4 linked regions of the Macaca mulatta genome follow. The protein of the gene in region 1 interacts with the protein of each later gene in a pairwise test. Links are inferred from orthologs where the notes say so. Each region holds a gene or a part of one and is shown in the gene's direction. Other genes may lie near its edges. The genes, in order: CCNH, KLC3, SSX2IP and DUSP12.

Region 1 (7,260 bases):
AGTCCGATTTAGAAAGGATTTAGAGATTGACAACAGGATCTTTTTAAAGAATAAAGAAACATACTAGGCACTGAAAAAGATGTAATGGGAAATAAGGATAATGTTTAAATTTGTAACTTCTATTTTGTAGATAAATTATTTTTTTAAGAGAAAGGTAGAAGAAGATTTGACACACTCAGAGAAGGCACCGTTAAGACAGCAGAGAAAGATTTAAAGATGCTTGCCTTGAAAATTGGAGTGATGTGGTTGCAAGCCAAAGGAAGCAGGCAGCCACTGGAAGCTGGAACAGGCAAGGAATGGATTTATCCCTGGAGCCTCCAGAGAGAGTGTGGCCCTTCCAGCACCTTAATTTTGGTGCAGTGAAACAGATTTCAGACTTCTGGGCTCCAGAACTATGAGATAATAGATTTCCGTTGTTTTAAGCCGTCACGTTTGTGATAATTTTAATAGCAAGGTTGGGAAAATAATACAGCCCTGAATAACCAAGATTTATCCAGCCCAAAACGTTATGAGTGCTGGTGTTGAGAAACCCTGTCCTGAGTTGAGTAGAATCTCTACTTATTGGCTGAATTAACCAGCATTCTCCATTCCTCATTCTTGCCCATGGCACACTTGGTCATGGCTGCTAAGCTACTCTTTGGGGTTAAAAGTCAATCATGTGGCCGGGCGCGGTGGCTCATGCCTGTAATCTCAGCACTTTGGGAGGCCGAGGTGGGCAGATCACGAGGTCAGGAGATGGAGACCATCCTGGTGAACACTGTGAAACCGCATCTCTACTAAAAATACAAAAAATTAGCCGGGCATGGTGGTGGGCACCTGTAGTCCCAGCTACTCAGGAGGCTGAGGCAGGAGAATGGCATGAACCCGGGGAGCAGAGCTTGCAGTGAGCAGAGATTGCGCCACTGCACTCCAGCCTAGGTGACAGAGTCAGACGCCATCTCAAAAAAAAAAAAAAGTCAATCATGTTTGTTTCCAAACCTTGTGTAAATTGTTCTTGTTGATTAAATTTGTAATGTAATTAAATGTTAAACCAGTAAAATACAAGATTGAAATCTTGATCTTCGATGAGAGTAAATGGGTATACATTTTACATATTTTGTGTTTTAAAATTTAAGATGCTTCAGGGCATCTCTATCATTTCTTGATTCTCTGCTCGAAGTGATCCTGAGGGCTTCCTTCTTGGAGAATGATGGCTGTGGTTTATGAATTATAAACTGTAGGTCTTTAGTTATGCCACTAGGGGGTTCACTTTAAAAGCTAATTGTGATTTGACTGTAGCTGTTAGGATCATAGAACTTAGTAGGTAAAGGGGGTCTTATTCCAGTGTACTCATTTCATAGCTTAGTTTTATTACTGATTTCTTCTCAATACCTTTGTTTTGCTCCACTTATTTTAAAATGAAATAAAAACAGCTCTTTATGAAACACTCAGAAGTTTAATGCTACTAAGATACTGGTAATTTTTGGAACACAGATACTGTCCTAAGGGTGTTGAGTTACAAGTATTAATTCAATTAAAAATACTGTTTTGTTTGCATTATGAAATAGGTCACTAGTGTAGTCATTTGGATCACATGGCTGGCTAACAGTAATAATAAGCTCATTGGATCTCATTATTCCCCTAATGTTGAAATTGGTATTCTTTGGTTTATTATAGTTGAATAGCAAGATCAGCTAGAGGATGCTTTTGCAATTATAAAGTTACTGATATAGTAGTTTGCTTTTAACCTGAAGTGGACATTTTTGTATAGGGTCTGCTTTTTGTTAAAGCAAAGGATTATTAACAAATTTTTACTAAGCATCCTTCCTTTATTGCATGTTGTGTAATAACAGTTTACTTTGTAAAGAGGAAGTATACTGTTGGCCCACTATCTATGGAATAGAATATTACAAAGATGGTTGGTGATAGAGAACAAAACATGTTCACTAAATCATTTAGGGATTTTTTTTTTTAAGTCTTAAAACTGAACAAGAAGTGACCCCAGTAGGATTTTCAAAAAATACTAGATTATACAGTGTGCTTTATGTTATATATGATATGGGCTAAACAGCAGAGAGCCATAATTACTTCAACTAAACATGCAGTGCTTATTGGATTTTAATGTAAAATGAAATGCAGAATGATGCAAATCCTGAGAAGAATAACCATGTCATTTGCAGGGTGTTTTGTTGTTTCCTATAACAAAATGGAAAAGTAACCAGCTCCGCTACTATAAGAAGGTTTGCTTATTCAGTTTAAATTCTTTTTTGTATCCACATAGGCATGAGAAACTTAGTAAAAAAGTATGAGCCACCCAGATCTGAAGAAGTTGCTGTTCTGAAACAGAAGTTGGAGCGATGTCATTCTGCTGAGCTTGCACTTAATGTAATCACGTAAGTTGATGTGACAGTGTTAATCAATAGACATAATTGTTACCCAGTCCAACTGGTTCGTAAATCATTTTATTGGTGTTTGCTCATTTGAGGAAAGCTGACTGATCCATTAAATCAGATTTCCTTTATTGAATGGACATTTCTAATGAGATTAAGTTAATAGTTTGGCATTCACTGTGCAGTTCTGATCCTGCTGTGACTCATATGTTCTTTGGCTTGCAGGCCATTCTGTTCTGTTACTTCTCATGGGATTTCAGGGGTCAGGGTCTTCCTAAGGAATCCTTTTACCTTTTCCTGTCCTTTTAATCTTTGGTCTCTCTGAAGCTGTGATACCTGGTCTGAGGAACAAATATGCTGTTCCAGACTTCTGTTAGCTAGAGTAGGGAAAGTTGGCATACTTGCTTTCAGTGACAAACTTTATATTGACGATAAAGCCAGTAGGAAAATAGGCTATTTAATTTCTTCTTGTAGCTAGACATAACACCTTTAATGTCTCTTAATTGATATGTAAGCTGAATGTGGAAATCACCATAAAATTGGCAATGCATGCTTTGTAAATTGAAAGATCCACTTAAACTTTCTCTTTTAGGTGTTTAAGCAGTTGGGAATTTGGACAGGTACTAGGATTAATTAAACTGTCATTTTCTATTTCCTTTGGGATGCATTTTGTTACTTAAAATTATACTGTATTTGTTAAAATTTAGTAAGAGTTATCTGTGGCATTTTATATTTAAGATGTATTGAGGTATTATTTCTGTAATTGGTGAATATGTGCTGCTGGATACCTATGAAAAGCCAGAACAGCATTCCAAGGCCCTTATGTCAAATACACATGATTCAAATTCCTTACCTATACAGTTGTAGTCGGGGAATATATAGGGAGTTAGGAAGTGTGCAGAATATGAGGTTGTTTTATTATAGGTAGAGCTATAATGACAAAGCATGATTTAGCACAGAATTTGAAATTGGTGGATTCCATTCACTCCCGGGTTTCAGTGGTAACAGGAATTTTTCAGAGTGGTTACAGAGAAGTAATGTTGGCTTTAATGAATAAAAGTATTGCAGCACTGATTATGTTCTTTTTGCATTGATTTTGAAATGGGATTAGACCAGGGGTTGGCAAACTGTGGCCTATCAGGCCTATCCAGCCCATTAGCTGTCTTTAAAACAGTTTCTTGGAATGTAGCACACCCATTCGTTTATGTATCACCTATGGCTATTTTCATGATACAGCAGAAAAGTTAGGTAGTTGAAACAGAAACTGATTATAGGGCCTTGCAAGACCTAAAATATTTACTGTCTCTTTAAAGTTTATCCACCCCTGGATTAGACCACTGAACTATTAATCCTACCTTTTCTAGCTAAGTAACTGAATGGACCATAATCCAGAATTCCTAACTACCATAGCTTACATTTTATTCCAGATTGCCATCTGCCTTGTACTGGGTGGGCCAAGCAAATTCTGAATACCTATGAGTACTTGAGGGGTGCTTCTTAAACTGTGAAGGACTTTTTTAAAAAAATTCACTAGATGTATACTTGTGTAAAATTCAATAAAAAATGAATTACTAGAAGAGTGAAGACTAAAAACATAAGCTCAAGTTTTATTAGATTCAACAGTCATAAAATTATATCAGATTACTATTAAAAATTTCTAGGGCTGGGCACAGTGGCTTATACCTGTAATCCCAGCACTTTGGGAGGCTGAGGCAGGCAGATCACCTGAGGTCGGGAGTTCGAGACCAGCCAGCCTGGCCAACATGGTGAAACACCGTCTCTACTAAAAATACAATAATTAGCCGGACGTGGTGGCGGGTGCCTGTAATTCCAGCTACTTGGAAGACTGAGGCAGGGAGAACTGCTTGAACCCCGGAGGGGTCACAGTGAGCCGAGATCACGCCATTACACCCCAGCCTGGGCAACAGAGTGAGACTCTCAAAAAAAAAAAAAAAAAAAAGAAAAGAAAAAAAAAAACCTTCCAAACACAATTCCTATACTTAACTCACTGCAAACTGTGCAAACTGTTCATGGAACAGCCCTGGTACTCACTACCATGAGTAGTGCTACTTTAGGACTAAATATTTGTTTTCCTTGATCTTCAAAATTATTTTACCTTTATTTTTCATGACACAAAAACTGTTTGGTCCTTGTCAGTCAATACAAGTGAAACCAAAGTTCCCTTTGATCAAAACCCAAATCTGTCATGACCTCAGAAGTTACTTAGCAGTTGTTTACCTTTGCCAGCCTTTTCTCTGCACGTATATCCATATGTATTTATGAAATAAGTCACATTTTCTTCTTCTTTGCATCTTTCATACGTATTGTACAACGTGTAATTATCAATGCTTAGCTTTTGCTAGTCTGAGTGAAAAAGTACCACATTGGTATTTTAATTTGCATTTTCTTAATTATGGGGCATTGAAGTTTCCACGTTTAACAGTCACTTATATTTCTACTGTGTTGCTTATTTATTCCCCTTGTCCAATTTTCTGGCTTTTGTTTTTTTTTTTTTGAGATGGAGTCTTGCTGTGTCACCCAGGCCTGAGTGCAGTGGCGCAATCTCACTGCAACCTCTGCCTCCCGGGTTCAAGCAATTCTCCTGCCTCAGCCTTCCAAGTAGCTGGGATGACAGGTGCGTGCCACCACGCCCGGCTAGTTTTATTTTTTGTATTTTTAGTAGAGATGGGATTTCACCATGTTAGCCAAGGATGGTCTCAAGCTCCTGACCCCCGCCCACCTCAGCCTCCCGAAGTGCTGGGATTACAGGCGTGAGCCACCGCACCTGGCCACATTTTTGTGGTTTGTAGTGCTTTATAGATTCTATATACAGTCATTTTTCAGTATCCATGGGGGATTGGTTTCAGGACTTTCTGCTGATAACCAAAATCCACAGATGCCCTAATACAAAATGGTGTATTTGCATATAACCTGTACACATCCTCCCATATACTTTAAATCATCTCTAGATTACTTATAATACCTAAATACAATGTGAATACTATGTAAATAGTTATCATACTGTATTCTTGAGGGAATAATGACAAAGTCTGTACGTGTTCAGTACAGATAGAATTTTTTTCCTTATTTTCAATCCGCAATTGGTTGAGTCCACAGATGTGGAAACCACAGGATACAGAAGGCTGATTGTATTTATTTATATATGATATATTCTATTGTTTTTCACAACTTTTTTCCAAATACTAATTTTTGCCCCAGCTCCCATAACCCCACTTTTTTGAGAAAGTCTGTGTCATCCAGGTGGAGTGCAGTGGCTCGATCTTTGCTCACTGTACCCTCTGCTGTCTGGGCTCAAGTGATCTTCCCACCTCAGCCTCTCGAGTAGCTGGGACTACAGGTGCTCAACCACGTTGGTTAATTTTTTAATTTTTTTTGTAGAGACAAGGTTTCGCCACATTGCTCAGGCTGGTCTCAAATTCCTGGGCTCAGGCGATCTGCCGCCTCGGCCTCCTAAAGTGCTGGGATTACAATTGTGAGCCCCTGTGCCCGGCAGGTCCCAGCTCATTTTTTATTTCATGTTTTTCCTAGTTATTTGAAACAGTTTTTATCACACATTAAATCTGTACTTCTGCATAGTCATTACTTTGCTTAATCTAGTCTGATCATTGATTTATGATCTCACTTTTAATTACCATAGCTTTTGTAATATCTCACTTTTAATTACCATAGCTTTTGTAGTATGCTTTGAAGATAACTGGGACAAGGTCTTCCAACATTGTTCTTTTTTATATTATCTATTTTTTCACACTTCTTCCTAGGTCAGTGTTAGACTTGACAAATTCCATGAAAAATTTTATTGGGGTTTTAATTAGAATTGCATTTAATTTAAAGATTGATTTTAAAAGTATCATTTTCCCTACCCATAATCTTCATCTTTTTCCATTTATCCAGGCCTATGTTTTTCAGTATATACATGATATTGCATATGGCCTTGCTAGTTTATTTTACATTTTATAGTATCTGTGGCTGGTATTAGATTGCTTATTGATAGTTGCATAATTATAGGAAGAAGAGGAAAGGCTATGAAGATGATGATTACGTCTCAAAGAAGTCCAAACATGAGGAGGTATGTTTTACTCCAAAGATGAACTCTAAGTCATTTTTGTTACACATTCTGGTGTGATTATACTATTAAGATTTGTTCTCCAAGAGTATAAGCATTATAGAGTTGTGGGTTTTTTCATTTTTTGCATACTTCCTTACGTACAGTACTGTTGTCCATTATTAAAGGGATTTTTCTCTCTTCTGTCTTTCTTGATGAAAAATCCTTCTTGTGTTCATAGAAAGAAGCAATATGCATACATACTACATTTTTGCTTTATTTCTTATTTTCCAAGGATTTTTCCCTTACCCCCTTTTAAAAACAAATTTTCTGTCAAGTCAGGTAAGTGAATAATCAGAGGCAGAAGGTCACAGTTGTAACCTTTATTCCTCATTGGAGTAGTCTGGTGAGACCATGCCAACATTACTAACAGTGAACTATTACAAAATTTCCTGGTTTATCTTTTGTAATCCACATGGGTAAAAGGAGGAGAACATTTTCCTAAAGGGAGGTAAGAGGTAAACAATACTGGTTATGCTTCAGTGTTATCCTTACCACACTTTTTTTCCTTCTTAGGAAGAATGGACTGACGACGACCTGGTAGAATCTCTCTAACCATTTGAAGTTGATTTCTCAATGCTAACTAATCAAGAGAAGTAGGAAGCATATCAAGCGTTTAACTTTATTTAAAAAGTGTAATGTGAAAACAAAATATATTAAAACTTTTCTATTACTTTCTTTCCCTTTCACAGTAACTTTATGTAAAATAAACCATCTTCAAAAGAGCTAGAATAGCACCTGTTTTGAATATTCTTATTCCATCATGAC
Region 2 (7,295 bases), on another chromosome or scaffold:
GTATGTGACAGGGACCCCTGAACCAGATGGCATTCTTCAGTAAACTGTGGGTCCTAGGGCAACTTCAGGGGTGAAATCAGAGGGGCTGCTTAGAGCCTCTGAGGGCACTGGAGCCACGCTGGTGGAGTCTCTGCAGAATCTGGGGGTGTCGTACATAGTAGTGGGGTGCAGCGGCCTGATTCGAGGTCTGAGCTGGGTCAGAGGCTGTCTGGCAGGGTAGGAACCAACCTCGACTTGGGACCCACACCCTGGGCAGGTGCTGCTGGCCTTGTCGGCACACGTGGGTGCACTGGAGGCAGAGAAGCAGCGGCTGCGCTCGCAGGCCCGGCGGCTGGCCCAGGAGAACGTGTGGCTGCGGGAGGAACTGGAGGAGACACAGCGGCGGCTTCGGGCCAGCGAGGAGGCCGTGGCCCAGTTGGAGGAGGAAAAGCGCCACCTGGAGTTCCTGGGGCAGCTGCGACAGTACGACCCGCCCACGGAGACCCAGGTGCCACGGGCAGGGCAAGGTGGGGGTGCTGGGCCCTTCACAGAGCCCCACGGTTCCCCAGACCCTCCTTAGAATCCCAGTCCCCCAACCCTCCACAGAGCCCCCAGACCCACCAGAACTTCCGCAGACGCCCCCACTAGCTGCTCCCCGAAGCCCCCGGGCCTCGCCAGTCCCCCAGGGGGCCCCTGACGCTCATGATCACCACCTCCCTCAAACCCCGAGATAGATGCAGGGCTCCAGTCTCTGAAACAAGCCCCCCTCCCCCGGCCCCCCACTTTCCTGTCCCTGCAGCAGTCTGAGTCCCCGCCTCGCCGAGACAGCCTGGCCTCCTTGTTCCCCAGCGAGGAGGAGGAGAGGAAAGGTGGGTATCGGGAGTACATGCCACAGATGATGGCGGGCCAGGGTGGGGAGCGGGCTCTGAGCTGCAGAACCCCAAAATCTCTGAACAGGGATGGGGAGGTGAGGGCAGGGTCAGGAGGACCCTGAATGTGACAGTGAGCAGGTGAGGCTGGGAGCTGCGAAGACAGGGTAGCTGCCATGAGCCCGGCAGGCCCCGTATTCACATCTTGCAGGGCAAGTGAGCTGCCATGTACCTGTCCCGAGGCCAGGATGCATCCCACCAGCTGGTTAGATGCTAGTGACTCCAATCTCAGAAGTTAACATGGGGGCCCATAGTCCCAGGGGCCAGTTAGGCAGTCTGGGGCGTGTGTCTCCTCGTGCGAGGATGGAGGGGCAGGAGGCTTAGGAGGCTTGCAGTGACCCAGAGCCCACCCTGCCCCACCCAGGTCCTGAGGCCGCAGGAGCAGCAGCAGCTCAGCAGGGTGGCTATGAGATCCCTGCCCGCCTTCGGACCCTGCATAACCTCGTGATCCAGTACGCGGGGCAGGGCCGGTATGAGGTGGCGGTGCCCCTGTGCCGCCAGGCCTTGGAGGACCTGGAGCGCAGCTCGGGCCACTGCCACCCTGACGTGGCCACCATGCTCAACATCCTGGCACTGGTATACCGGTGAGATGCGGCCGGCCATGATGGCAGGGGGCAGGAACGGCAGGGACCCATTGGGTGCAAGTGGAGGGACCCTGGTCCCCTCTGCCACCATGGAGCACCTGGGGAGGTCGGAGGAGGGGACAGCCAGAATGGGAAAGGAAGGGAAGGCTCCTGCTGTAAGAACGGCAAAGAGGGAGTGGGCCAGGGATCTGGCGGGTTGGCGGGGCACTGAGTCAGGCAGAGAGGAGTCAGAGCACAGACACCAGGGACCCCAAGAGCAGGCAAGAGAACTGGGGTGGTTAGAAGCTTGGCAGAGGTCTGGGGATACAGGGCCTGGTGTTAGAGAATTGGAAGGTATGTAAGGGCCCATAAAAGGCCCCCAAAGGGTGCTACCCATGCTTGGTTCAGCCAGGTTCCCTGGACCTGCCAGAATTAGCCCAGCCCCTGTGGCTGTAGCTGCCCCAACCCCCGGCCAACCCCCGCCATCCCTGGGCTTCCACACAGGGACCAGAACAAGTACAAAGAAGCCACAGAGCTCCTCCATGATGCCCTGCAGATCCGGGAGCAGACGCTGGGCCCTGAGCACCCTGCGGTGAGTGGGGCCCCAGGGAGACGAAGTGGGGCCATGCCTGCCCATCCCTGACCTGTGTCTCCCCCAACCCCACAGGTGGCCGCCACGCTCAACAACTTGGCCGTCCTCTATGGGAAGCGCGGGCGTTACCGGGAGGCAGAGCCCCTGTGCCAGCGCGCTTTGGAGATCCGAGAGAAGGTCCCATCCCCCTTACCCAACCCCGAGGAACCCCTTGTAGCCCTCTCCATGGATCCTGAGCACTTACATCGTGACCCTGATCCTCGGGCCCCTTGCGTTTGGTACTGGGAGACCCCAATTGGAGCCCAACCCATCACCCTCGACCTTCTGAGATCCCAGTTTGGTCTTGACCCTGACTCTGACCTCTTGCCTTACCTCACACGCCACCCCCCAACTAGGTCCCGCCACAGCCTTTCCAACCCCTCATGGCCACTGGCACAAGCCCAGCCCTGACCTACCCATCTCACCTTGTGCCCCGTGAGTTTCTGGATCACCTTGGCCTCTGACCTCAGTAATCCCGCTCGACGGTGTCACTTGTGCCCCAGCCCCCAACCTCTCAGGTCACTCTGCTTTGGCCCTGTAATCCCTAACTTGTGACCACCATACAGAAGTGATGTCACGTGTCCCACCAATCCTGTATGACCCCTCTGACTTGTGACCCCTGGCCCCCAGGTCCTAGGTGCTGACCACCCTGATGTGGCCAAGCAGCTCAACAACCTGGCCCTGCTGTGCCAGAACCAGGGCAAGTTTGAGGACGTGGAACGGCACTACGCCCGGGCCCTGAGCATCTATGAGGCCCTGGGCGGGCCCCATGATCCCAACGTGGCCAAGACCAAGAACAATCTGGTGAGGTCCCTGGGGCTGAGTGGGCCCAGAGTGGAGGGTCTGCCCTGGGGAGGCACCCATTGGTTGGGTACAGGGCACCATGGGGAGGGGTCCCCCTGAGGCAGGGCCCTTGGAGCAAGTGTCCTATCAGACACAGGAGCTGGCTCAGCACAGAACACGGAATCAGGAAATGCGTGAGTCCACGGGACCCAGGACAGTCAGTGAAGGGGAAGCTGGCAGGCACAGATGGCAGCAGCAGACATTTATTGAGCTCACTGTGGCCGGCTCCCCTCTTAGCTCTGTCCCCACATCACTAGTTCTTACAGTGTCCCTATGAGGTAGAAGCTGTCACTCTACTTTGCATGTGAGAAGAGAGGCCATGCCACCAGCCCAAAGTAGAGCAGACAGGCTCAGAAACAGGAGGTTGCCTGCCCTCCATCCCCCAGGCAGGAGGTAGGGCGGAGCTCCAAACCCCCTCTGCCCCAGGGCAAGGCTTTAGGCAGGGGCGGGATATGGCCAGGTCAGCACAGTAGAAAGTGGGACTGGGGCCAGGTGTGGTGGCTCACGCCTGTAACCCCAGCACTTTGGGAGGCCAAGGCAGGAGGATCAGTTGAGGCCAGGAGTTCACGACCAGCCTGGGCAACATACCAAAACCCTGTCTCTACAAAAAAAAAAGAAAAAAAGTGGGACTGGATGCAGTGTTGGGAACTGGGGTCCGAAAAGTTCCCAGACTAGAGCCAAGATCACCCAAGACACTCCCTTCTCCGCAGGCCTCAGCCTACCTGAAACAGAACAAGTACCAACAAGCGGAAGAGCTGTACAAAGAAATCCTCCACAAGGAGGATCTACCTGCCCCTCTCGGTGAGCCCCGAGCCCCTGCCTTCCCTCCTGGTGGCTTCTCTACGTCCCCATCTCGGTGTCCCCCATCTTTCCCCTAGGTGCCCCCAACACAGGCACAGCTGGTGACACAGAACAGGTGAGGATGGGCTGTGCTTCGGCTCCTGGGGAAGGCGTGAGGACTGCATGGGCTCGGAGATATGAGCAGCATCCCTGCCCCTCCCCAGGCCCTTCGCCGCAGCAGCTCCCTCTCTAAGATCCGCGAGTCTATCCGGCGAGGAAGTGAGAAGCTGGTCTCCCGCCTCCGAGGCGAGGGGGCGGCGGGGGCGGCCGGGTGAGTGTGGATCAGGTCGGCAAAGAGCCCTGACATCAGCAGAATTCATAGCCCACCCCCCACCCCTCCTGCTCAAGAACCTTCCATGGCTCCCATCTCCCCTGTGATACACATAGATCAAATCCTGTGCTGGAAAGCTCCCTCCTGGAGGGGCCACTCCTGGATTCACTCGCTTCTTCCCTGCTGCCCCCTTCGCAGAATGAAGAGAGCCATGTCGCTCAACACACTCAATGTGGATGGCCCAAGGGCTCCTGGGACTCAGGTGAGGGGACACCGGGGTCAAAAATGGAGTGGGGCCACGTGGGTAGGTGCAGAGATAAGGCAAAAGCAGGGCGGTCAGGCCGGCGTCAGAGTCAGCAGGTGGTGGGTGTGTTAAAAGAGACCCAGGACAGGAGCAAAGATGGGTTTTACTTGGGGTAGAGGTGAGATGGGTAGACGGTTGGCTGCCAGGCTGGATGCAGCACCTGTCCCTCCCCTCCAACCATCCCCTGTGCCTGTCTCCAGTTCCCCAGCTGGCACCTGGACAAGGCCCCTCGGACACTCAGCACCAGCACCCAGGACCTGAGTCCCCGCTAATATCCAGTGACCTGTGTTGGCCTCAGCTGGTGGGGGACGGGGGGGGTCTATCATCTCTTAGGTGCCCCCTGCCCTCTTCTGCGATTAAAGGCCGTGGATGTGACAGTGAGGAATGTCACCTGAGTTTATAAGACCTTCCAGCACCACCCCCGCTACGGCCTCAGAGCTGCTGGTTTAGGGCCAGGCAAGACTCAGGAGTCACCAGGAATCATTTATGGCCCTGCCCATCCCGCTCAGAGCTGCTGAGCAATCTGCTCTATCCTCTGCAGCGTCTCCTCTGATTCCAGCTGCTCCAGGCTGAGCAAGGACAGGCCCAGCTGATCCTCCTGCAGAGAACAGAGGAAAGTAAGGGGGGCACTGTCAGGAAGGGGCCCAGGCAGCTGCTGTACTTCCCCGACCACCCGCCCCCGATGGGCATTAGGGGTCTGAGACATGAGGGCCAGGATGTTTGAATTTGGAGATGTCAGTATAATCCAGAGTGGGCCATTCCTGTCCACATAAGAGGGGGCTGAGGGAGGAGCCAGCCAGGGCGTCGGAGAAGGACGGGCTTTCCCCAGGCCAGCACAGTCTCAATGCCTGATACCTCCTCACCCCAAATTCTCACCCTGCCTTGCCTGGGCCACCTGCTGGCATCTGTGGCCCCTCGAATCTCTCCCTACCCCCCAGAGCCTGGCATGCAGATGCACAATAAACTTCTCTCTGTAGAGGGCAGGAGGACAGGCTGGGGTTGGGGAGTGGGGAGAATCCAAGGGGCCTTTCTGGAGGAGGAGCTCAGCCTGGGAGGATGCTGGGAGGGGGATGCAGGCCTCACCCGGTGGAAGGGCTGTGCCATCTGCCGCAGGAAGTACTTGGCCACCTGGACACCCTCATCCACAGTCAGGTTGAGGTTGGCATCTGTGAGGTGCTCCTGGATCCAGCGGGGCAGTTTCCCCCGCTTGTCCCCACGGGCAAACCGCTGTGGGCAGAAGTGCAGGCCAGGGAGAGGACGTCAGCACCAGAGTCAGGGAGCCTGGGCCACCCTCCACCCTGTGACACACCCCATCTGGGAGATGAACGGGCAAATAGCCTGGTTTTCAGAGGCTGGGGTGCGAGCACAGGGGCACCCCTGAACCTGCACCTTGTCGGCAAAGACCATGAGGCCGTAGTCCGTCTTGCCCCGGATGGCCCGACCCACACACTGGGCCGCATGGCGCATGGCATCGAAGGTGAGAAAGTCATTCTCACGAATCTGGAACTGGTCCCGCAGGTATTCCAGCCGTGCCTGCAGAAATGAAGGACGAGGAGTTGGGGGGGTGGGGGAGCCGTCCCTCCCCTGGCCCTAACACTTTGGGACTTCTGGGAGCCAGAGCTACTCACCTTGAGAATGCGACTCTGTGTGTAGACGTAGGGGACGCCAAACATGATGACGGCCCGCCCGTAGTGGTGCACTGGTGGGCAGAGGAGAGGGGTCGAGGGGAGTTACAAGTGTGGCTGGTGGGACAGGGACAGCCTCACGCGCCCCAGGATGCTGTGTCTGAGTGGGAGAGAGAGGGTATGCTCCCGCCGGGTGCCTAGGGCCAGAGGGGAGGGGAGGGTCCCTCTGTGCACCCAGGCTGTGGGTGGGTGGTCCCCCGCGGGAGCAGACAGCAGGTGTTCCAGAGAGCTCTGGGAAGACACCTGGGGAGGAAGAGCGAGTCCACTCACCGAAGTCGATTCCCTCAGACACTTTGCCCCGGGCCACTGACAGCAGGATGGCCCCGCGTCCATTCTCGCAGGCCTGAGGTGGGGAGGCAAGATGCAAGTTGGGTCACTCCTCGGAGCCACCTCCCCACCCCCTCCACGCTGGCCTCACACACCCACCTCCTGGTACTTCTCCAGGGCGACACTGGTTTCGGCACCATCCTGGGTCTCAATAAAGAGCAGCTTGTTCCTCTGGATGTTCTCAAGGATCCCCTGGGGAAGGACCCAGGGAGGTCAGGGTGGGGGTGGCAGAAGGTGGGTTCAGGGCACGGCCATCCTGGTTATCTCCAACTCTCCTACATCACTATTTCTCTGGGCCTCAGCTGGCTCATCTGAGATGTGGGGAGGGAGGGTGGAATTGTCCAACCTTACTTCTTTGGGGGGAACTTAGTGATCTGGGTGGGGAACCAATCACTGCTGGATAAGTGGGGCAGGCATGTGGCTCAAGGGGGTGGCCAATCAGGGCACCCCATCCCCTGCCAGCGACTGGTGGAGGGGCTGACTGTGAGGCAGGCAGAGTCAATCAGAGGCTGCCCTGAGATTTCCCATATGACACTACAATACAGACTGTGGAGCCAGTGCAAGGACACAGACCAGTGGGACAAAATGGAGAGTCCAGAAACACACAGCCATCTGTGCAGTTCAGTGGGGACAGCTTTTATTGGAGCAAGTGGATTTCCAAATGGAACCAAAAAATGAACCTTGACCCCCTACCTTACACCATATAGAAAGATGAATTTGAGGTACCTCATAGACCTAGATGTGAAAGCTAAAACCACAAGCTCTTAGAAGGAAACACAGCAGCCTCTCTTCATGACCTTGGGGTATTTAAGACAAAGTTGTCTTAAATAGGACACAAAAGGAACCTGGGCTGTGGGGACGGGATCACCTTTCCGCCGTGTGGAAGCCAGCTATTGAAGCACAAGGCCAAGGTCCCGGCTGTG
Region 3 (7,260 bases), on another chromosome or scaffold:
CCCAAAGTGCTGGGATTACATACAGGTGTGAGCCACTGCGCCTGGCCAATAATTTTTCTAACAGATTCGTAGTATTCTAATAGGCTTTAAAATGTTCAGAAGACAAGTTGTGCTTCCTTGAAACAGTTACTGGCAAGTAGCTTTTGAGGATTGGAAGGGGCTAGAATCACCATGAGCCAGATCCTGGGCCATTCCCCTGTCTGCTCTGCCTCTGAATCCCTGACCTCTACTAGCCGTTGCTGACCTCAACTACTGATAGAGTTCTTCAGACTCAGTTGCTCCCTCATCCTGCTGATCTCTATGTGAGAGCAGTCGAATCAGCCCTTCTTTCTTTTCAGCTTTTGTCTTCCTTTTTACCCCAGCAAGATTTTTATTGTTCAAATTAGTGAAGCGTATCTTTCTACCTTCCTGAATATTAATGACAAATTAGAACTACTTTATGTAGATGTGGGTTATTATGACATATATCCATTTTAGTATTGTTTCCCCATGTTCTTTATCCTGCTTTGATTCTGTATGATCATATATCAGTAAAGTTTGCTACTTCTTTATGATTTCATGTTTTGGCAGAATACAAAGAAAAATATCTCCAGTTGTATACAAAAGTACATGAGGAAAATAGAATTAACAGTTGCTTCTATTAAGTACTTCAGAGATTATTTCACAAATGTGTTTCTTTAAGCAGCCTAGGGTTAGAAACAAGTTGATCTAATGTCAAATATCAGTTCTGCCTCTTAGTTGTAATGCTGCTTCTCTAAGCCTCAGTTTTCCTACATTGTAATGAGCTGAGGGTTAAATAACGTGTGAAAACATCCAACACATTAGACAGCTATTGATATCTCCTCAGACAGCTTCATGACTCTTGTCATTAACTGTATTTGGATTAACTGTATTTGGATTCAAATTCAGGTTTAGAGCGAGCTGAATTTAGGAGTCTCTGTCTTTTTCTTTTTTTTTTTTCCAAGACATTTATGTTAAATACTGGGTCATATGTGCATAAGACACAGCACAGAAATGCTTCGGATGCGGCTCCCTCTGGAAATCAAACTGAAGACTACTTGCCTGAGCATCTAAAGCCATTGTAAAGTGGTAGCCTTTCCTCTTCATCTCTCTCCACTTGTAGGTTATTTCTGATGTTGAAGAAGATGCCGGGGAACTGAGCAGAGAGAGCATGTGGGACCTTTCCTGTGAAACTGTGAGAGAGCAGCTTACAAACAGCATCAGAAAACAGTGGAGAATTTTGAAAAGTCATGTAGAAAAACTTGATAACCAAGGTAACCACTGCTTCTCTGCATGTAAAGTGAGTTGTGACATTTGGTAAGGTGTTGATTTTCAGTCACTTAGAAAGCTATATCTGTAGGCTCAGAGCTAAAGTACTATATACTTCAGTTTGGTGGTTTGAAAGCAAGATTTTGCATACATTTATTTTTTCATTTTATTTTATTTTACTTTCTGACACAGAACCTTGCTCTGTCACCCAGGCTGGAGTGTAGTGGTGCGATCTCGGCTCACTGTAACCTCCGCCTCCCAGGTTCAAGTGATTTCTCCTGCCTCAGCCTCCTGAGCAGCTAGGACTATAGGCGCGCATCACAGCCAGCTAATTTTTTGGTGTGTTTTTAGTGGAGATGGGGTTTCGCTGTGTTGGCCAGGCTCATCTTGAACTCCTGGCCTCAAGTGATTCACCTGCCTTGGCCTCTCCAAAGTGTCCAGATTACAGGTGTGAGCCACAGTGCACAGCCAAGATTTTACATACATTTAGATGTGAGGTTTGAACCTCACTGAGAAAAATACACTTTGGTCTCAGGGTGAATGTTTGAAAAGAGGACATCATGGATCCATCTGCTCTGGATGCAGTATACAATCGAATAAAGATAACTGAGCCGGGATAAAAGACTACACATTGGATATAGTGTATACTGCTTGGGTGATGGGTGCACCAAAATCTCAGAAATCACCACCAAAGATCTTATTCATGTAACCACACACCACCTGTTCCCCCCCAAAAAAGAGAGAAAACTGAGTCTCTTTTACTGACTCTCAAAAAATCAAGAAATATTTATCATAGTATAGATAGGAACTTTTTGCTTATTTCTAGATGCTTGCAGATTACTGTGTTCCTAGTAATTCACTTAAAATTATTTTTAAAATAATAGATGTTTAATGCAAAATATTAATTTGGAAGTATATAAAGTAGAATATCCAGGTCTCCATTCCATACATATAACACTTAACAGTTGGGTGTATATTTTTCTAGACTTTCCTCTATGGATTTGCAAGATACTTATTTTTAAAAATTTTTTAAAAATTGAATATCACCTATATTTTTGTTTAGTGTGCTTTTTTCACTTTATTATTTCAGACATTATTCTTTTTCCTTATACATAGCTCTACATTGATGAATATATTCTTAATATTTTCTACTTGGTAAAGTTTGCTTTTAAATTAGGAAAATGAAGATTTCTGCTCAGTAAATGAAGCCTATTTAAAGAAAAAATTTAAATTGTCAAAATATGAACTCAATGCCATTATGTTAAGTAGTAAAGAGCAATCGGCAAAATTATTATTACAACACCAAAATGAATATACTCGAGATTTTGTTCATTTGAGTCAGTGCTGTCTACTAGCAAATAGCAAGTGTGTTTGGACTTCGTGTTTGTTGAATTTAATATTTGAGAGCAAGATTTGTGACACGTCATTGATCTTTGAAGCAGTGTCAACAAAAACATAATGATTTTATTTTTCTCTTCTCTGAATATGGCCATTTTGTCTGTTTTTAATTAGGACATAATCTTGAATAAATATGGTTTACAAATTAAATCTTGGCAATAGAGCTCCATTTGTAAGCATATCATTTAGTCTTAAAATTGTACAAATATATAATTGTCATGAACTCCTGTAGTTGCTGTGCTGCTTAAAAATTTTTTATAATGTTAAAATAATATAAATGTAATTTTGTTATAGCTTATGAAATTTTAAAAAGCCAAAGGACATAACTACTTTTTAGAAAACCTATAAAATTCCAGAAAGATAAAAGTTCTGAGAGCCCTTATTTTAACGATATGTGTAGAAACACTGTAAACTAAATGGTGGCTATAAAACCTATGTCAACTTACTGATTTTGTCTTAGTTTCAAAGGTACACCTGGAAGGTTTTAATGATGAAGATGTTATCTCACGACAAGACCACGAACAAGAAACTGAAAAACTTGAGTTAGAAATTCAGCAGTGTAAAGAAATGATTAAAACTCAGCAACAGCTTTTGCAGGTGAATATGAATTACCTTGTAAAACTTGTTCTCCATGAGAAGCCAGAATTGTGCTGAACGTTAGCAGATTTGTATTCCTTTATTTCATAAGGCCCTGGTATTTGACAGTTTTCTAGTCTACGTTTCCTGCTAACAGATACGTTGTGTACCATTCCTTAAATAGTCCATACTTTGCTAGTTGGGGTCGTAGCTTTTGGGAAATGGGAATTCTCGTTTGACTTTTGGATTCTTAATAATTTATATTCCTGCCCTGAAGTTTGACCCACCTTCCTTTGCTTTCATTTCAAGTTGTTGGAGTGTTGCAGGGCCCCTCAGGAACTTACTATGTTTTAAATTTTAATAGCAGCAGCTTGCTACTGCATGTGATGATGATACCACTTCACTATTACGAGACTGTTATTTGTTGGAAGAAAAGGAACGCCTCAAAGAAGAATGGTCGCTTTTTAAAGAGCAGAAAAAGAATTTTGAGAGAGAAAGACGAAGCTTTACAGAAGCCGCTATTCGCCTGGGATTGGAGGTATTTTAAATAATGGTAGTGCTTTTGAAAATACTGGGGGTGGGTGGGCCTTAGTAGAATGCTTCTAAGGTCTACTTTGGTTTCTTGCTATTTACTTATTTTCTAAAATATTTACTGGTGATCTCATAAATAATTTGAAATGAAAGAGAGGCTGAGCATATAGAATGGGATTATTTCCCCTTACCAGATTTGAGAACTGAACTAAAAAAAAAAAAAAAAAAAAAAGGCTATAAGCATTTATTACTCCTTTCAGATTGGCTTTCTCCTGCTGAGAGATTTCCACAAGAAATCTCTTTTGGTATCCATCATTCATCCACTGTCAGTAGGTGTGGTGTCAGAAGACAGTGCAACCAAGACTGCGTTGCTGTTTAAAAAGGAAGTATAATAAAAAAATTAAGTTCTCTTCTCCCCAGTCCACTATTGTTATATATATGCTCTACAGCTTGCTTTTTTTTTTTTTTTTTTTTGTGACGGAGTTTTGCTCTTGTTGCCCAGGCCGGAGTGCAATAGCGCGATCTCGGCTCACCGCAACCTCTGCCTCCCGGGTTCAAGCGATTCTCCTGCCTCAGCCTTCCTGAGTAGCTGGGATTACAGGCGTGCGCCACCACACCCGGCCTATTTTGTATGTTTAGTAGAGACAGGGTTTCTCCATGTAGCTTGCTTTTTTTACTTAGCAATGTGTCTTCTAACATATTCCCCCCTCAAAAATTGTAGCAGTAATGTCTGACTATAGTTAAAAGAAATCAACAAAACTCATAAAAAAAGCTACAAAGTGAGAAAGTCTCCTCCTTTCCCGTCCCCAGTTTCAGTCCTTAGAGGTAACTTTTGTTAAAAGTATCTGTTGGAAATTCTTGTAGGAAGTACTATTTTAACTTTTAATGTATTTCAAATTTTCTTCTTTATCAGTTTATTGATTCTCTGCTATGAAAGATAAGGAATTCTGTGTCCTTATTGTATCTCCTGCCTACACCCTTCCTCATTCACATCTCATGTCTTCATAATGTTGTTCCTTTTGTTCTTCTGATTGCCTTTTTTTTTTTTGCTTTAAGGAAATAATGTGAAGCTTCCATTTCATTTTATGTTTGTTCAACTTCAGTCAGTGTCAGTTCATCCCTGCAGTGAAAGCTGAGGACATTCTTGTAGTTACTCTTGTTCTACCTCTCTTGCTCCCCTACTTTGCAGTTTTTGTTTGTGATACTATTTTTCATTGTTATCACATTTATAGTTTGTCCTTCAATACAATCCAGGTATAAGTACTTTGTCTAAACTTGAGACTTCAAAGTTGGAAAACCAGGAAAGAAAATTGATAACATTACAATTATGTAAATATAATTCTATAACCAAATATGTTTTGACACAGAAAATACTCTGTATTGTTAAGACTTTGCCACCCAGATATATCACTATCTAGTGAATTCTTTGACTTTCTCTGTAGCTTCCTTTGTGATTTCCTGAATCAGATTCGGCTGCCATGTTTCTTATATCTCATGTTACTGTCTTTCTTGGGTTTCTATTCAATTTGCTGTATTACCTTCTTGAGTAATTTTTTTTTATAAATAGTGCATGAGCTATAAACATTCTGAATTCTGGAATATTCAAAAATATATTCATACATGATTGGTTTGGGTGTAGAATTTAGATTACATTTTTTTCCCTCAAAACTTTGAATTATTCCCTTTCTCCTAGTGTTTAGTTTTACTGATGAGAAGCCTGATTGTAATATACCTGTGTTACTTTGTAGATATCTGTGTTTTGTTTTCTGTTTCCCTCTGTGGAAGCTTGGGTATTTTTTTAAAGTTTAGACATTTTACCGGGATATGTCTGGAGAGTTCCTTTCAGCCTAAAGGTTCTGTATTTCTTTAATTTAGGGAAATTTTCATCTTTATTTTTTCCTTCTTTGACTTCTCTGTGTTCTGAAACTTTTGTTAGACACGCATTTGGCCTTCTGAATATATATCTACAGGTTGACTTTTGTTCTCAATTCTGGAATATTCTCTTACCTTTGTCTTAGAGATCACGAAACTGGCCTTTCAGGGTCAGTTTTATTATTTGCTTTAGCCACTGAGTTTTTGTTTCAGAATTTATCTTTAAAATTTTCTAATGTCCCTAATTTTTGCTTTTCTTTATATAGCGTGATGATATTTTACAGATGTTTATTAATCTGTCTGATAATATGTGTTACCTTTTTTTTAAAGATTTCTTTCATCTCTTGAATTATCTGTTATCCATGGTCAGTTTTCTATTTATCTTGACCTTTTTTCTATTACTAGTTTTCTCAAATGTTTGGTGATGCATAATTCTGTATCAATATTTATGAATGAAAGATTGTGTGTTGCTTGTTTTAAGTAGCTGACATGGATTTCCTCAGTTCCAGTCTAAATGTCTGTTTCATCAGTAGCTATCTTCAGGGAACATTTGCACCAGCATTGTGTCCTACCTGTTTCCGAGCCCATATCCCCCACAGTACTCCAACAGATACTCTTGATGCTTTGCATATTGCTCCCAGTTGCCAGGTGCCTTTCCCTGCATGAGAATCTTTCTCCGTCTGGTCACTGGGATGGTGTGCATAGTGAGGGATAGGAGGGAGGCATGCAAGACCTGAGGGCTGATGGAGAATTTAGTTTAGGATTCATCAGCTGTTCAGAAGGGGGAGGTTTGACATAATTTGCATATGCCCTCTTGTGGTTTAGTGGTGGTGGCTTACCAGTACCGGTAGATGGCTGGAGGATGAGAGAAATGCTTGATGAAGTCATAGGTCCTTTTTTTCAAGTGACTAATTTACAATATAGAATGTTTTTCTTTTGTTTGTAACTTCGTAATGTTTTGTATGTTCAAAAGTTAGGCTAATATTCTATTCCATTTTTTGCATTGTTCGTGTGAACTTAAAATTGATATGAAGACAGTGATGGTTGGTTTAGTAGGTGAAACATGAATTTCTATTTTTTAAATGTAATTTTTTCTTAAGTGAATTTTTTCTTCGTTTTTTTTTGTTTTGTTTTGCTTTTTTTTGTGTGTGATGGAGTCTTGCTTTGTGATGGATCGTGCAGTGGCGTGATCTCGGCTCACTGTGAGCTCCGTCTCCTGGGTTCACGCCATTCTCCTGCCTCAGCCTCTGGAGTAGCTGGGACTACAGGCGCCCGCCATCACGTCCAGCTAATTTTTTTTTTTAACGTATTTTTAGTAGAGATGGGGTTTTACCGTGTTAGCCAGGATGGTCTCCATCTCCTGACCTTGGGATCCGCCCACCTCAGCCTCCCAAAGTGCTGGGATTACAGGTGTGAGCCACCATGCCCAGCTTTGTTTTGCTTTTTGAGACAGAGCCCCGCTGTGTCGCCCAGGCTGGAGTTCAGGGGCGCGATCTCAGCTCACTGCAACCTCTGCCTCCTGGATTCAAGTGATTCTCCTGCCTCAGCCTCCTGAGTAGCTAGGATTACAGGTGCGCGCCACCATGCCTGGCTAAATTTTGTGTTTTTAGTAGA
Region 4 (7,785 bases), on another chromosome or scaffold:
TGGGTTACTTGTTTTTCTGTCGTCAAGTTGTAGGAGTTTTTTTTATATGTTCTGCATATTAACCTGTCAGATATATGCTTTGCAATTATTTTTTCCCATTCCATACACTGCCTTTTCACTCTATTGACTGTTTCTCTTGATATGCTGACATTTTAAAGTTTGATATAGTACCATTTGTCTATTTTCACTTTTGTTGCCTGTGATTTTGGTATTTTATCCAAGAAATTGAGGGAGAAGGAAAGGAACAATCAGTTAGGTAGACAGCTAAGGCCAGCCCTTGGAGAAGCAGCCTGCCTGAAAAACCACAGCTACAAGCAAAATAGAGCAGCTTAGGCAAAACTCAGGCTGTACCTGCATAGATAAGCAGGCAGGGTCCAGCATGGATGCCTTTCATTCTTCATGTAATTGGCCAGCTCCCAGGAAAAACTTTCCTCCCCTTTTCAGGCATATACATAGTGGACTCTGTGGGAACTTGCACAAGAAGGACGCGGCCTTACCTAAAACAAACCCACAGTGATACAAATAAGAGAAGCCATGCTTTGTGCTTGCCTAGAGACATACCCACATCTGTAGAAGATAAGGGAAGTTGCACAGACAGCTTTATTCATAAGAGAAGTTACTCAAACAGCTATAGAGATGAGAGGAGTTTCTTATAACATGTTTTGAATTCAACTGTAAAAATGGCACCCCACTTGGGCTCCCCTCTCTGCTGTGGAGAGCTTTCTTCTTTTGCTTATTAAACTTTTGCTTCAACCTCACTCTTTGTGCCCACGCTCCTTAATTTTCTCAGTCATGAGACAACAAGTTCGGATAACACGTTAGACAATGAGACCATTGACCCTTACCTGTTTTAAATTTTTTTTCAAATCCAAGGCCATGAAGCTTTCCCCATATGTTTTCTACTAAGAATGTTATATTTTTAGGTCCTTAATCTATTTGGAGTTATTTTTTGTATATGGTCCAAGGTAAGGGTCCACCTTCATTCTTTTGCATGTGGATATCTAGTTTTTGCCAACACTGTTGAGGAGATTGTCCTTTTTCCATTGTGTGGTCTTGACACTCTTTTTGAAGATTATTCTAACATATATGCAATGTGGCAGGTGATCAACAACTTTCTGGGCTGGTGACACAGGTGGTAGGAAGAATTTACCAACACAGTTGTAGGTAAAGAAAGACAGGTTTATTAGAGAAAGTATGAAAATACATTGCAAGGGTACAACAGGCAGGTCAGCAAGAGAGAAGTTGACTGCTAGAAAACAAAGGCTTGCTGGGGATTTTGTAGAATGGTGCTTATGTTGTGTGCAGAAGAGGGCTTTGTGCAGTACTAATAATGTCAAGGTTGCAGTGAACTAACTTCCATTTTTCTATCAGCTAGGGGTCTGGTGATGGCTGGGCTCAGGCAGATTTTGAGTTATTTGCACAGCAGGGCTGTGTGTCCTGGACCATGAAGAAAGGCAGACTTGTGGCTTATCTGCTTTCTCCTTTTGCTTCCCTTCGTCCAGCCAGCCTGACTCCTTTTCCCTAATTAGGACTCCACATGCAAGGGTTTGTTCTGTTCTAGAACAGAAACAGATCGATGTATCTATCTTTATACCAGCATTATAACTTCTACGTCTTGACCAATTACAACTTTAGTATCTCTCTCGCCTGTCCTCTGTTGTGGGAAGTCAGGGACCCTGAATGGATGGACCAGTTGAAGCCATGGCAGAAGAACATAAATTGTGAAGATTTCATGGACATTTATTAGTTCCCCAAATTAATACTTTTATAATTTCTTACACCTGTCTTTACTGCAATCTCTGAACATAAATTGTGAAGATTTCATGGACATTTATCCCTTCCCCAATCAGTACTCTTGTGATTTCCTATGCCTGTCTTTATTTTAATCTCTTAATCCCGTCATCTTTGTAAGCTGAGGATGACTGTCACCTCAGGACCCTGTGATAATTGCGTTAACTGCACAAATTGTTTGTCGAGCATGTGTATTTGAACAATATGAAATCTGGCACCTTAAGAACAGGATAACAGCGATTTTCAGAGAACAAGGGAGATAACCTTAAAGTCTGGCTGCCAGTGGGCAGGCAGGACAGAGCCATATTTCTCTCATTACTGAAAACGGGCAAGATAAATATCACTGAATTATTTCCCTAGTAAGGAATATTAATAATTAACAGCCCTGGGAAAAGAATGCATTCCCAGAGGAGGCCTCTAAAATGGCTGCTCTGGGGGTGTCTGTCTTATGCAGATGTAGATAGGGATGAAACACGCCCTAGTCTTCTGCAGTGCCCCCAGGCTTGCTAGGATTAGGAAATTCCAGCCTGGCAAATTCTAGTCAGACCAGTTCTCTGCTCTTGAACCTTGTTTATCCATGACAATGTGTGCACAGCTGGACATGGAAGTTCATTAGTGATTCTAGTTTCACTCTGACTTTGTGATCTCGCCCTGACCTCCTGCCTTGTGATCTTTTGTCGCCCTTGAAGCGTGTGATCTCTGTGACCCACACTCGATTTGTGCACTCCCTCTCTTTTGAAAATTGCTAATAAAAACTTGCTGGTTTTGTGGCTCAGGGGGCATGATGGAACCTGCTGACATGTGATGTCTCCCCTAGACACCGAGCTTTAAAATTTCTCTCTTTTGTACTCTTTCCCTTTATTTCTCAGACCAGCTGACACTTAGGGAAAATAGAAAAGAACCTACGTGAAATATTGGGGGCTGAATTTCCCCCAATAGTCCTCCCTATACAAGAGATAAATAAAAGATACTCATAGTACTGAGTATCTTCCTGCAGCATTCAATCTGGAGCAAAGCCGGCTTCCTTAAACCCTTTCCAAAAATCCCCAGATAAAAGCCCAAAATCTGTATAGGATCTTCCTAACATCCTCGTGCTGAGATGCCCTGAAACTCTCCATAGCTCATGACTGAGTAATAAAACCAACTTGCTTAATTAAAGTTGGTTTCGGGTAGTCCTGGCTGGAGGACATTGACTTACAAAAATATAGGATTAACATCTTCAAAATAAATAGACAGTAAACATCAACAAGGATTCACACACCAATAATGAAATTGGGCAGAAAAAGGAAAAATAATCATAAGATGCAAAGTACAGATGGCTTTATAATACTGAAAATAATTGTACTTCAAATGCATAAAATGACGCTTCTGATTCAGCCGGTGCGACCTTTATTTCACATTTGAGTTCAGCTGCTCCTGATGTCTCTCTCCTGAAAATTTCAATATTAAAAGCCAGAGAAACCCTGTATTTGGGGAAGCTTATCCTTTACCATCAACTTTGGGGTGGGGGTCAGAGGGAACAGGGCACGAAACGCCGCGCTGAATGGGGCCGAAGCTCCGCCCCTTAGCGATAAGTCCATTTTCCTGCGGCCAACGTTGTCCTCCAAGGGAGCAGCTGAGCCGCTGAGGCTGGCGAGTCCCAGGGGAAGGATGTTCTAGCCGGAGCCTACTCGATGGTAGGGCAGGAGCCGCCTGGTGTCTGGGCGCGGCCATGTTGGAGGCTCCGGGCCCGAGTCATGGCTGCGAGCCCTGCAACCCCGGTGCCAGCAGAGCCACCTGCGCCGGGCAGATGCTGGAAGTGCAGCCAGGACTGTATCTCAGTGGGGTCGCGGCCGTCGCGGAGCCAGACCACTTGAGGGAAGCGGGCATCACGGCCGTGCTAACGGTGGACTCGGAGGAGCCCAGCTTCAAGGCGGGGCCTGGGGTCGAGGATCTGTGGCGCCTCTTCGTGCCAGCGCTGGACAAACCCGAGACCGATCTGCTCAGCCATCTGGACCGGTGCGTGGCCTTCATCGGTCAGGCCCGCGCTGAGGGCCGTACGGTGTTGGTGCACTGGTGAGTGGCCGGGTCAGTGGCGACGTGCCCCGCCAAGCACCCCTTTCCTTCCGAGGCCCTCGGGAGGACGAGAGCGCGGTCATGCCGCGTGAACCTCCTCCAGCTACCTCCCGCAGGAGGCGTGTATCCAAGAGAGGAGGAGGCTGGAGGCGGGCCCCTGGTGTGTGCAGGCTTTCATTCATTCATGCTTTAGTTGGTTCTTCCTGCTGCAACAGAGGGCGGGGGAGGTGTCATCCGATAAATGACAAATTACCTACGCCCCAAGGAGTTTACGGCTCTGTTGGAGAAGCTAGACACCCACCGATGATTGTAATGCAGATTAGGTTGCTTGGTGTCTTGTAAACAGGATTTACAAAGATTTAGGGTTCAATGTTTTTGTTTGGGATGGGTAGGGGGTGGTTGATGAAGAGGAGAATTGGTTTGGATCTAAAGGATCCCTGGGCTTTACCTAGGGAGGAGATAGTTGCAGCAAAGACAAAAAGAAAATGGGAATCCCGGCAGGGCGCGGTGGCTCACGCCTGTAGTCCCAGCACTTTGGGAGGCAGGCGGATCACGAGGTCAGGAGTTCCAGACCAGCCTGGCCAATATGGTGAAACCACGTCTCTAACAAAAATACAAAAATTAGCCGGGCGTGGTGGCGCTCGTCTGTAGTCTCAGCTACTCGGGAGGCTGAGGCAGGAGAATCACTTTGAACCTGGGAGGCAGAGGTTGCAGGGAGCCGAGGTTGTGCCACAGCACTCCAGCCTGGGCAACAGAGCAAGACTCCATCTCAAAAAAAAAAAAAAAAAAAAAAAAAGAAAAGAAAAGAAAATGGGAATCCCTAAGCAGTTCTTGGTTGGATTGGAGTATAATAACAATAGTTTAAATTTATTGAGCACATAAAAGACAGAAGATAGTGATAGAATCGAAGGAAGTCTGGGACCAGATTTTGAGGTCCCTGAATGCTAAGATGAAAGGAGATTGGATTTGTTTTTGTTTTGTTTTATTTATTTTTATTTTGAGTCTTGCTCTGTCACCCAGGCTGCAGTGTAGTAGCGTAATTACGGCTCACTGCAGTCTCAACCTCCCAGGCTCAAGTGATCCTCCCGCCTCAGCCTCCAGAGTAGCTGGGACTACAGGCACGCGCCACCACATCCGGCTAATTTTTTGTAGAGGTGGGGTCTCACTTTGTTGCCCAGGCTGGTCTCCAACTCCTGGGCTCAAGCAATCCCGTACCTCGGCCGCCCAAAGTGCTGGGATTTCAGGGGTAAGTAAGCCACTGTGTCTAGCCAGGAGTTTGGATTTGTTCTGAGCCATTATAAAAAATTTTAAAATTACTGTTATTATTTTTGAATAGGTAATACAGTCACATGGTTCAGAATTCAAGAGGAAAAAGGAATAATTCTTTTGTACCTGATAATATTTCAGAGGCAATGGGCTTATCTGAGAAGTAGAAATGAAGTGGGCCTAAACTTTACTATTAATAGGGGGCTGGGTTTTGTGTGTTTGTTTTTAATTGTTGCTATTTGCTGTTTTATTTTAAAGGTCTCTTTTTCAGTCACGCAGGAGTCAGTCGAAGTGTGGCCATAATAACTGCTTTTCTCATGAAGACTGACCTACTTCCCTTTGAAAAAGCCTATGAAAAGCTCCAGATTCTCAAACCAGAGGCCAAGTGGGTTCTTTTTTTTATAGTAATAATTCTGCTTTTGTGATGTTATTTTAAGAAAATGAAACTTTGTATTTCTTTATCATTACAGGATGAATGAGGGGTTTGAGTGGCAACTGAAATTATACCAGGCAATGGGATATGAAGTGGATACCTCTAGTGCAATTTATAAGCAATATCGTTTACAAAAGGTTACAGAGAAGTATCCAGGTAAGTAATAATCACTAGTGTGTAATGGGCTTTCTAAATGTCATTTACTTTTGGCATTGCATGCATTACCTCACTTCCAGCAATCCCCGAGAAACTATTGTTTCTTTTTGAAACTGATTTAGCCAGAAATAACTTATTCAAAATCACATGGTTTATAAATGGCAGGGTTGGGATTTGAACTCGGTCAGCCTGTGCCCAGAACCTAAGTACTTAAATCACTGTCCTCTCCTACCTTAGCCTGATTTCTCAACACTGGAATTTGATTTTTTTTTTTTATTTTAATTTCTGAGGTTAGCACTTCTTGCCTCAATTTGACATTAACTGAATTTATCTGAAAATGCAGTTGATTTTGACAAATAAATACATTTTAGTTATATCATATAGAATTGCAGAATTTACCTCAAGAACTCTTTGCTGTTGACCCAACCACGGTTTCACAAGGATTGAAAGATGAGGTTCTCTACAAGTGTAGAAAGTGCAGGTAAAATATTTTGTATCCTTTGGATATTTTATCTTCTCAGTAACTGAAAAGTAGCTAAAGTTTTATTTTCTTAAATTTCTGTAGGAAGATTTTGTTTAATTGAAGAATATAGAAATTTTTAGTTCAGATCTGTTTTCAGGAAGAATATAAATTCTTAAAAAGAGAAATAATCAGATTGTAAGGGTTATTGAAAATTTAAGTAGCATAATCAGTGTTACATTATTTTGTCCTCTAAGCAATATTGCACATATTGCTGGGTGCGGTGGCTTATGTCTGTAATACCAGCACTTTGGGAGGCCCAGGCAGGCAGATCACCTGAGGTCAGGAGTTTGAGACTAGCCTGGCCAAAGTGGTGAAACCCCGGCCAGGCGCGGTGGCTCATGCCTGTAATCCCAGCACTTTGGGAGGCCGAGGCGGGCGGATCACAAGGTCAGGAGATCGAGACCATCCTGGCTAACACGGTGAAACCCCCTCTCTACTAAAAATACAAAAAAATTGGCCGGGAGTGGTGGCCGGCACCTGTAGTCCCAGCTACTGGGGAGGCTGAGGCAGGAGAATGGCGTGAACCCAGGAGGGGGAGCTTGCAGTGAGCCGAGATTGCGCCACTGCACTCCAGCCTGGGCGACAGAGCGAGACTCCATCTGAAAAAAAAAAAAAAAAGTGGTGAAACCCCGTGTCTATTAAAACTACAAAAATTAGCTGGCCATGGTGGCGGGTGGCTGTAATCCCAGCTACTCAGGAGGCTGAGGCGGGAGAATCAGTTGAACCCAGGAGGGGGAGGTTGCAGTGAGCTGTGATCACACCACTGCACTCCAGCATGGGCGACAGAGTGAGACTCTGTCTCAAACAAACAAACAAACAAAAAAGAAATACTGCACATTTAATCCATGTTTTCATCCTTTTGGAAGTCATTAATGTTTTTGTTTGTTTGGGGGTTGCAGGCGATCATTATTTCGAAGTTCTAGTATTCTGGATCACCATGAAGGAAGTGGACCTATAGCCTTTGCACACAAGAGAATGACACCATCTTTCATGCTTACCACAGGGAGACAAGCTCAATGTACATCTTATTTCATTGAACCTGTACAGTGGATGGAATCTGCTTTGTTGGGAGTGATGGATGGACAGGTGAGAACACATTTTATTTTCTACAATTTTATTTTATCATCTATATTTTATTCCTTCTTGCATTTTATTTTATTTTATTTTATTTTATTTTTTATTTTTTTGAGGCAGAGTCTCGCTCTCTTGCCCAGGCTGGAGTGCAGTGGCTGGATCTCAGCTTGCTGCAAGCTCCACCTCCTGGGTTCACACCATTCTCCTGCCTCAGCCTCCTGAGTAGCTGGGACTACAGGCGCCCGCCGCCTCGCCTGGCTAGTTTTTTGTATTTTTTAGTGGAGACGGGGTTTCACTGTGTTAGCCAGGATGGTCTCGATCTCTTGACCTCGTGATCCACCCGTCTTGGCCTCCCAAAGTGCTGGGATTACAGGCTTGAGCCACCCTTCTTGCATTTTAAACTCTTATTTTAACTAGTGTTTTACTCCATTTAATTCCTTTATTTCTGAAGATTATATCTTTCTAGTGTAGATAAGCCTATCAAAAA

What was found.
Region 2: the proteins of CCNH (region 1) and KLC3 interact in binary tests that used the Homo sapiens proteins (3 or more experiments, as listed by UniProt). The two-hybrid records come from large-scale screens. The link is inferred for Macaca mulatta from reciprocal best matches to the Homo sapiens genes CCNH and KLC3.
Region 3: the proteins of CCNH (region 1) and SSX2IP interact in binary tests that used the Homo sapiens proteins (3 or more experiments, as listed by UniProt). The link is inferred for Macaca mulatta from reciprocal best matches to the Homo sapiens genes CCNH and SSX2IP.
Region 4: the proteins of CCNH (region 1) and DUSP12 interact in binary tests that used the Homo sapiens proteins (3 or more experiments, as listed by UniProt). The two-hybrid records come from large-scale screens. The link is inferred for Macaca mulatta from reciprocal best matches to the Homo sapiens genes CCNH and DUSP12.

Annotation. Positions count from the first base shown.
Region 1 is NC_133411.1:93,770,932-93,778,191, reverse strand, and holds the end of CCNH (cyclin-H), read left to right. Parts: intron 1-2,260; coding exon 2,261-2,372; intron 2,373-6,395; coding exon 6,396-6,456; coding exon of another isoform or gene 6,457-6,513; exon of another isoform or gene 6,514-7,008; coding exon 7,009-7,047; 3' UTR 7,048-7,230; downstream 7,231-7,260. UniProt on the Homo sapiens protein: Regulates CDK7, the catalytic subunit of the CDK-activating kinase (CAK) enzymatic complex. CAK activates the cyclin-associated kinases CDK1, CDK2, CDK4 and CDK6 by threonine phosphorylation.
Region 2 is NC_133424.1:57,869,171-57,876,465, forward strand, and holds the end of KLC3 (kinesin light chain 3), read left to right. Parts: intron 1-256; coding exon 257-487; intron 488-778; coding exon 779-848; intron 849-1,272; coding exon 1,273-1,492; intron 1,493-1,975; coding exon 1,976-2,063; intron 2,064-2,138; coding exon 2,139-2,240; coding exon of another isoform or gene 2,241-2,513; exon of another isoform or gene 2,514-2,537; intron 2,538-2,732; coding exon 2,733-2,906; intron 2,907-3,655; coding exon 3,656-3,746; intron 3,747-3,823; coding exon 3,824-3,861; intron 3,862-3,930; exon of another isoform or gene 3,931-3,949; coding exon 3,950-4,056; intron 4,057-4,254; coding exon 4,255-4,318; intron 4,319-4,447; exon of another isoform or gene 4,448-4,560; coding exon 4,561-4,632; 3' UTR 4,633-4,741; downstream 4,742-7,295. Other genes in the region: ERCC2 (general transcription and DNA repair factor IIH helicase subunit XPD), read right to left, coding at 4,866-4,958, 5,444-5,587, 5,750-5,893, 5,989-6,059, 6,316-6,388, 6,472-6,564. UniProt on the Homo sapiens protein: Kinesin is a microtubule-associated force-producing protein that may play a role in organelle transport. Plays a role during spermiogenesis in the development of the sperm tail midpiece and in the normal function of spermatozoa.
Region 3 is NC_133406.1:155,909,169-155,916,428, forward strand, and holds part of SSX2IP (afadin- and alpha-actinin-binding protein), read left to right. Parts: intron 1-1,123; coding exon 1,124-1,274; intron 1,275-3,127; coding exon 3,128-3,264; intron 3,265-3,607; coding exon 3,608-3,781; intron 3,782-4,034; exon of another isoform or gene 4,035-4,403; intron 4,404-7,260. UniProt on the Homo sapiens protein: Belongs to an adhesion system, which plays a role in the organization of homotypic, interneuronal and heterotypic cell-cell adherens junctions (AJs).
Region 4 is NC_133406.1:105,162,267-105,170,051, reverse strand, and holds the start of DUSP12 (dual specificity protein phosphatase 12), read left to right. Parts: upstream 1-3,469; 5' UTR 3,470-3,502; coding exon 3,503-3,846; intron 3,847-5,383; coding exon 5,384-5,497; intron 5,498-5,582; coding exon 5,583-5,701; intron 5,702-6,085; coding exon 6,086-6,182; intron 6,183-7,123; coding exon 7,124-7,310; intron 7,311-7,785. UniProt on the Homo sapiens protein: Dual specificity phosphatase; can dephosphorylate both phosphotyrosine and phosphoserine or phosphothreonine residues. Can dephosphorylate glucokinase (in vitro).